Macaca mulatta: one gene and its partner. The protein of the gene in region 2 interacts with the protein of the main gene of each other region in a biochemical or structural test. Links are inferred from orthologs where the notes say so. Each region holds a gene or a part of one and is shown on either strand. Other genes may lie near its edges. The genes, in order: MITF and PIAS3.

Region 1 (3,808 bases), on a different chromosome or scaffold from region 2:
ACCACAAGGACAAACTAGAGTCCACAGTTAAGTGTGGGAATCATATTCAACAGACAAGTTATTTAGCATAAGAAAACAGGAGAGGAGAGGAGACATGAATTACCTCTTTTTCACAGTTGGAGTTAAGCGTAAGCATAGCCATGGGGCTGTTGGGTGCGCTGCTCCCCGGCACCGGTGGCATGACATGATCGCCAGGCTGGTTTGGACATGGCAAGCTCAGGACTTGGTTGGCATGTTTATTTGCTAAAGTGGTAGAAAGGTACTGCTTTACCTGCTGCCGTTGGGCTTGCTGTATGTGGTACTTGGTGGGGTTTTCGAGGTGGGTCTGCACCTGAACATAGCCATGGAGGGAAATGAAGACAGCGCTGTTATTTGTGAGTTTCAGATGGCTCTTCTTTCAGGCACAAACGTGAAACTGACCAGTCCACCAACAGAATAAATTATTAAGCCTTTGTTATGTACCAGGCACTGTGCTAACGGATTTTGATATTACTGAAGTTTAAAGTCTAACTCGTAGGATTTGGGGTAATACTTTGCCCTATTTTGTTTCCCTGCTAATTAACTATACATCTCTTTCAAATCTTCTTCTCATATCTGATAATTAAAAGTTTGAAATTATCTTAGGGCAAAAACTTCCCCAACACACATGAAAAGGTTTATTAAGAACAAAATAAAAATGTAGAAGAAGGGGCATAACTCAGTTTGTTTCACTTTCCTTGGAAAACAGAACAGCTTTCTTTTTAAAACACACACACACACACACACACACACACACACACACACACACACCCCTCCTTAAGAACCAACTGTGTAAAATGGCTGTAGAAAATAAATAGAAATCTTCCAGTGATTAAATCAACCAGTTGTGGATTAATTCTCCCACTTCCATTTGGACATGATTATTCAACATTTTAATTAAGAAAAAACTCAACATAAAAAGCAATTCTACATTAAGTAGTTTCTTTCAAATGCATAACACTTACACGTATGTGTTTTAAAAGACATGACTATTAACAAGTCAAGAGGATGTTTTTTCTGCTTTCCTACAGACAGTAATTTAGAATGAGAAATACTTTTCCCCCAAAAACAACATTATTCAATTTTAAGTCACTTTTTTCCTGATAAAGACAATTTAATCTTATGAGCAATGAACAGGAGCTGATGAAGACAGTTTAGCCACACACTAGGCAAAAAAAAAAAAAAAAAAAAAAAGAATCCTACTAATATTTACTTTGTTCAAAACTACATTGGATTACTTCTTATGGCATCAAACAATAAACAGCATTAAAAGAGTAGATTTGTACTTATTGAAAACAGTATGTTTATTACAAAAAAACTGTATTAAATCAATTTATTACATTATATTTCAAAGACTGAATATGAGTCAGAATAAAGCTCACCTGATAGTGATTATATTCTAGCATTTCCAGCATAACAATGCTTTAGGTGGCCCCAATCCAATGAGAGATGGTAGACTATCCCTCCCTCTACTTTCTGTAATTCCAGTTTGAAGACGGGCTGGCATAGAGAAGGCACTATAAACAAGGTATCCCGAGACACCACCGGAAACTTTATCACAGAAGCCCTGCTTATAATAACCTAAGCTAATTAGTTATGCATGTAAAAAAAAAAGTTCACACAAGGGCCTTTTTTTTTTTTTTGGAAGCCCTACGAGTTTGCTCTTAAATGTTGATATCAATTTTTCCCCCTGGCTTGACGTCATGCTTTTTTTCATAAATATAAAAGAACCTTTTTAAGTGACGAGCTATCAAAGTCAAACTCACTGTCAGATCAAGTCCAATTCACTATTCATCTTTAGTTCCAGTAGTATTAATAGACAATGGTATTTCTCTTTCAGCAATAGGTTAAGAGCAGGATGCCCCTTTGGAGGAGACATCATCTAAAAGCTACTATTACATGAGACTTTTCCAATGGCCGAATAACTGCCACTTCCGACTGCAGGATGACTATCTTTTAGTATAGAAGAGAAGAGACTCTGGGCTGAATGTTCAAGTTCAACAGCCTCTTCTTGCATCCTGGTTTTAATATGCACCTTATTCTTAGCTACGTAGATTTGTAACCTGCCTATTGACCTCACATCAGGAAGACCGGGAACTATCCTAAATAGAACATGGCACACACAGAAGTGGATGTATATTTATGCGGATAATAAGAACTAAGTCTCTCCCCTATTTAACTCTCAAATGAAAAAGCATGAGCCTTTTTGCCAAGAATTTTTAAATATTATTCTTAAGACTACAGAATAATGAGTTATCATATACACAACCGATACATTTACATATTTATTCCTTTATTCATTCATTATTAACTGTTATGTGCTAAACACTGTACAAAGCATAGAATATGCATTGTGAACAAACAGATATAATTTCCAGCTTTATGAAACTTATATTCTGGGGTGAGGCAAAAAAAGAAAAGAGGCAAGCAAATATATACCTATAAATTGTGATAAATGCTTAATATCTACTGTTGACAAATGTTAAGCATAAAAATTTGAAATTCAATAATGTTGTCTACATGCCCAGGATAATGCAGTCCATCAGGTTGCCAATCTCAAATTGTTTCAAATGACTGATTTAGCATGTACACAGAGGTTCACAGAGACTTTGCTTTAATAAAGGGTCCAGACACGATAATGATGAGGACAATAGACATTACTAAAATAAACATAAAATGAGGGCAATGAGTGGAATGTGCTTATTTCACTATTACACTTGAAAAGAGATTCACGTTTAAAAATAAATGTTAATTTACTGGCAGATCCTAATTCTTTAATGAATCCGAATATTATGCTTTGGTAAAGAAAGAAGCAATTTGCTTTCCAGGTGGCACTGTCAGTGAGGTCTTTATTACATCCAGGTTTGGGTAAGCAGAATGGGATATATTTGGCTCTTTTACTGTTAATAACTTTTTATTTTTAGGTTGAAAGCAGATGGCCTATAAACACTATGCAGTCGACAGAACATCTCCAGTTGTTTCCAACCCAAACACCTCAAACAGGCAACATAAATGAGGAACATGAGCTACGAGGAAGGTAATAAGGAGTGGTGAGGTCTGTGGCAAACCAGAGGACACACTGTTCCTAGCAGGAACAGCAGACAAAAGCTGCAGCTGATTGTGGACATGTGGGAATACGAGTCCAGCCTAGCTCAATCTCCAAATTTTTCAAGGGTGGCTGGCAATCCAAACTACTTTTTTTAGTAAAGTCCTCCAGGTTTAAAAATCTGATGCTCAACTGTTTTGTGTTTCACAGAATACAAGCCTCAGCCCAAAAACTAGAAAATAATCTCTATTTTACACTGTCTATAAGGATGATCTTCATATTTACATTCCCTTGGAGATAGCCTAGGTTATGAGAAGTTAGTGTCCGAATCCAGCCTTTTCCTGGTGCTTCTTTGACAATGTGCCTGACAACACAGTTAGCAGAGTTCTTCACTTGAAACCTGGGTTCAAATTCTATCTTTGCAACTTACTACTCCTGTACCTTCTGCAAATCATTAACTTCTCCAGGTCCTCATCTCCTAGCATATTGAATGGGAGTGACAGGAGAGTTTGCCTCATATGTGTGTTTTCTGCGTTAAATGAGATCATGTTTCTAATGGCTTTAGCACAATATCTAAAACAGCAATTCTCAAACATTTTTGTCTTAGGATCCTTTTACACTCTTTAAATTTACTTTATTTACATAGATTATGTCTATCAATATTTAGCATATTAGAAATTAAAATTGAGAAATTTTGAAAACACACGATTATGCATTAGTACATATCTCACAGGATGTCAGAAC
Region 2 (4,600 bases):
TACCCCTAATGCGTACCCAGCATAGGGAGGATGAACTCACCTTAGCTGCACCTGTATGGTATAATCACATTTGGCTCCTGGCAGAACCTCTCTGTAACAAGGAGGGAGACGAGATATCAGCATGTAGCCCCCAGAGGGCAGGGGTGAACGCACAGAGAGGCTGAAAGTTAGATGTCCGGAGGATAGAGCAGAGACACACAAAAGAACGAGAGACAAGTAGGCACAAGAGGATGGATAGGGAAAAGCGCAGGGCAGAAGAGAAGAAAGTCAGAAAGCAGAGTCCAGGGGTAACCCCCCAGGGATGAGGGAGGAAGACTGGAAGAGATGTACCTGGATGTAAGAATCTGCTGCACTTGCTGGGGTGTGAGGGCAAAGGTAAAGTGCGCTTCCTCAAACCGCTGGCTAGAAGTGGATGCTGAGGATACAAAGGGGCAGTTATTCCAAGCCCATGCACAGGCAGCCACAGAAATCACCCCCATCCCAGGTCACTGATCCCATAGGACTAAAGCCTAAGAAATGTCTGGGGAACAGGTAGGGAGTCCAGAAGACTAAGGGACCACAAAGAGCCATACCAAGGGTGGTGGGCCGGATGAGCTCCCCGTAGACTTCATAGAAGGGCAATGGTTTCATGGTGACATCAGGGTGCACAGGCTGGGCAAGAGAGGGGTGCATGTCCACCTCACGCTTGGGGCCCAGCAGGGTGCCAGGGGCCAAGAGGGTTGGGGGAATGGGAGCTAGAGGACCAGGGGAGCCTACAGGAGAGGTGCCAGGAGGCAAAGAGAGAAGGGAGAGGTCAGAGGGCCCCAGGGTCTTCCGGGGAAAGCGTCGTCGGTAAAGCTCTTTGATCTTCATCTGGACGCTAGGGGCACAGCTGGACTTCAGGAGGTGCAGGGCCTTGGCCAGGAGCTCGTGCTTCCGCCCACTCTTGTTCCGGCCAGCAAAGCCAAGAAGCACCTGGAGCTCAGACACCCGGAAACTCATCACCATGTGCTGTGGAGAAGAACAGAGAAGCTTGAGAATCCTCCGTTGCACAGGCCTGCCCTGCCAAGACATGGGCTGAGCTACCAGGTGGGCAGTGCCTTTTTCCCTCCAGCACTGATGGGAAAGATGATGCTTCGCAGCTAGTGGATTACTGCCAGGTAGTCAACCTATCCAAAGGGACATCTCAGTCCCACTTTAGCAACCATCAGGTCAGCATCATCACCACCCCCTGCCCACCCCAAGCTTGAGCAACACTGTCTGTCTCCCCAGGCCTGGAAGTGGCCAGAGTGGGGCAGGGAATGGCAGACAGCAAGCCACCCTCAGACACACCTCCAAGTCTACACAGCCTCCCGCCTCCAACCCTGCCTCTAGTCTGGACTCTCCTTTAAGCTGCTTATCTCCTCTCTTGCCCTTTCTCAGACACTCAAACTCATCCCAGCCTCCTGGGAAGAGGATAGGAGACAGGGAGAAGGAGGGAGAGACAAGAGGATTCAAGCCAGACAGCCCCACGGGGAAGAAAGGGGCCAGGTGGCTGGAGGATTGTGCCCTTCAGCCCACCCCTCCAAACCACCTTAATTCCTCAGCTATTTCCCCCAAGCCTCTGAAGCTTCTGTGGGCCGGGGTTTTCAGGTCAGGGTTCAATGCTCATTACTCCCCCAGATCCTTTCTTGGAATCATTAATATAACCGCCCCCTCCCCACAACTTAGTCCTATTTTTCTGGAAGGGAAACAGGACCAAAACTTAGGTTGAGGAGATTAACAGTGATTCACTGAGTCCAAGTATCCTGCCTGTTTACTCTATCTGCCAGGAACCATTATCTGGCGTCTCTCCTACAGAGAGAAAATAATACTCCTGTACAACCTACAGCCCCCCTACACGGGTGGAAGAGGAGCGGGCAGAGCTCTAAACAGAGGCCCTGGGTGGATGAAGGAAAAGCCTCTGAGTCAGGGCACAGAATCGCAAATTTCCTGAAGGTAGCTGGGCCCAGTGGCTAGACCTCCAGACTGCCCAGGACCATAGCTCCATTTCAAAGGGCAGAAGAAAACCAGGAGGCATGGGGATGAACTCGGTGGTTTAAGGTTCTATGAGATGTCCTCAGACGTGGTCACCCTCCAAACTCTGTGTGGCAGAAGGAGGGGAGCGCTCTCCTTAGAGGGAGGACTCCCTTCTGTGAATCTCTAGGAGATCCTGTCATGGGCAGGGCTTGCTAGCCCTACACAATTCTTCTCACAGGAGGCTTTGTCTTGGACCCCTTTTGTGGAATGTGATGAGAAACTTGCTCCTCTTTCTCCCAATCTTTATCTTCTCTGTCCTGTCTTATTTTTTCCATTAGCTTTCCCTATAACTTCCCTCCTTTCTATCTCATAGTTTCACATGCCTCTGCCTCTGCCCAAACATCGCGATTCACTAAGGCAGGACCTTCCTCTGAGCCTCCAGGATGCTTCTGCCCCACCCCTCGAGGTATCAGCCCGCACAGCCCCGCCCCCTGCATCTCAGCCGCCTACTGGTATTTCCCAAAGCTCGGATCCCGAGAGTAGCCCCAAAGACCCTACCCTTTCAGCTGCCTTTCCCCCGGAGCCTCCCCTACATCTGCCCCGCGGTCCCATCCCTGCATCTGCCCCCTACTGTCGCATCTCTTGGCCTCGATCGACTCGCCCCCAGTGCCTCTAGAGCAGCTTTTCCCCCTGGCCCTACCCCAACAACTGCCCCTACTACTAAATCCGACTTCTACCCTTCGTCCCCGCCCCCTGCGCCTCAGCCCCCAACAGCTGCAATTCCCCTCGGCCCCACCCCTACATCTGCCCCGCAGCCCCGCCCCCGGAGCCCCGCCGCAGCCCCTTCCTCGCTCTCAGCCACTTCTTTCCCATCCTCAGCAGCCCGTGCCTGCCACGTCGTCGGCGCCCACCCGAGCCCCGGCACCCAGTCTCGGTCGCTTCCCGGACACGGCGTACCGCCGGAATCAGTCCAGATGGGGATGGGGGAGGGGGCCGGTACCTTTAATTCGCCCAGCTCCGCCATCTTGAGACATCGCAGGCGCCCTAGCCGGAGCCGGAGCTCAGGCCCAGGGACCGGCGCACAACTCTCCACCCCGGCGCCGGCCGCAAATGCCGCCTGCTCCGCCCCGTCCGGCCCCCTATACCTCCCCTTCCCGGCCCCGCCCGCCTGGCTTCGGACTAGCCCCAGCCTGAGCCCCTCCCTCCACAGCGGACCCAGCAGCTACACGTCTGCGGCGGGTTGGCAGGACGCGTAGCCCCGGAGGGAGTTTATGGCCCCCAAGATCGCGGGGTCCCCTAGGGCAACGAAGAGGAGGCGGGTCCGAAGTGCCTGGTGGAGGGGGGCTTTGCCACGGCAGAGTTGGGAGGGGACAAGCTTTTAGAGAGCCAAAGATACTTGAAAGATGGAGGGAAAGTATCGGGAACTGCTAGAGCTCAGAGAAATGGGGGAGGGGGTAGCGAAGTTGGAGCGCAAACCCTCATCTCCATCTCTACATAAGTTTAAGCAACTAAAATCGAGAGGTCTTCCAACTCGGGAAATGGGCGAGCGCTGATCCGTCTTAGGGAAGCCGTGGAGTCGGCATTCAGTTCAAGACAGCTATACTCAATTCACCCTCTCCTCCTCCCCCCAACACCAACTACAATGCAGCTCGTGGTCCGATCGTAGGACTCAAACTCAGCAGCAAAAAAAGTTTGGTGCGGGGAGCGGGACTTACCAGCACAGTTGTGGGAAATGGAGAGAGGGTTCGGGAGGCTCAGAGGGCGGGCTGGAGAGGTGGGGGCATGGGGCTCGGCGCCGCTCCTGCTGTCCGCACGGCAGAAGTTCGGTCCAGCGGCCGGACGCGGCGGCCGCGGCTCCGCCCGGGCCGGAGCTCCGCCCGGCCTAGCGCTCGGGCTGGGGCCGCCCCCTCCACGGGAAGCCCGCCAGGACCGCCGAGAGGGAAGGGGGGCGGAGCTCGGGCGAGAGAGGGAGGGACTCAGAGCCTGGCGCTGGAGCGATTAACTCCTGGTGTGAGTGGATCTGGAGAGATGAGATCCTTGGATCCCATCATTCTCACTACCTCTGTGACCCCTCACGCTTATGTGTGGGATTGGGGTGGTGGCACGCTGCTGCTAAGGCCGTGTGAACCAGGTGTCTGACCGTATAAAGCAGTCTTCCTTGAAATGACAACTGTCTCTCCCTAGGGCAAAGCCTGGGCTACTGAATCCAAAGTGTACCTAACAGTAACTACTCCAGATACCCCTGCACAGTACCTCCACCAGAGCCCCCATACCTTTGGTGTAGCTGAAGATGAATTGAGGGGTTTTCTTGCCAACAAAAGGAATCTTTCTGTCCCTCTCTGAACTACCTACTCACTCTCCTTCCTCCAAAGCCTTGGACCCTCCAGAGGCCCCATCCCAACCAAGCTGATCACTCACATGCAGGCCCAAGATTAAATCTGTTTCTGTTTCCATGGAAATACCTATTTATTTATTTATGTTTGAGACGGAGTCTTACTCTGTCACCCAGGCTGGGGTGCAGTGGCGCAACTTGGCTCACTCTAACCTCCGCCTCCCGGGTTCAAGCAATTCTCCTGCCTCAGCCTCCCGAATAGCTGAGATTACAGGCCTGCGTCACCACGCC

What was found.
Region 1: the proteins of PIAS3 (region 2) and MITF form a complex in vitro, tested with the Homo sapiens proteins (2 studies listed by BioGRID). The link is inferred for Macaca mulatta from reciprocal best matches to the Homo sapiens genes PIAS3 and MITF.

The regions. Positions count from the first base shown.
Region 1 is NC_133407.1:133,472,374-133,476,181, reverse strand, and holds part of MITF (microphthalmia-associated transcription factor), read right to left. Parts: intron 332-3,808; coding exon 104-331; intron 1-103. UniProt on the Homo sapiens protein: Transcription factor that acts as a master regulator of melanocyte survival and differentiation as well as melanosome biogenesis.
Region 2 is NC_133406.1:119,438,090-119,442,689, reverse strand, and holds the start of PIAS3 (E3 SUMO-protein ligase PIAS3), read right to left. Parts: upstream 3,019-4,600; 5' UTR 3,002-3,018; coding exon 2,978-3,001; intron 991-2,977; coding exon 573-990; intron 416-572; coding exon 331-415; intron 92-330; coding exon 41-91; intron 1-40. UniProt on the Homo sapiens protein: Functions as an E3-type small ubiquitin-like modifier (SUMO) ligase, stabilizing the interaction between UBE2I and the substrate, and as a SUMO-tethering factor.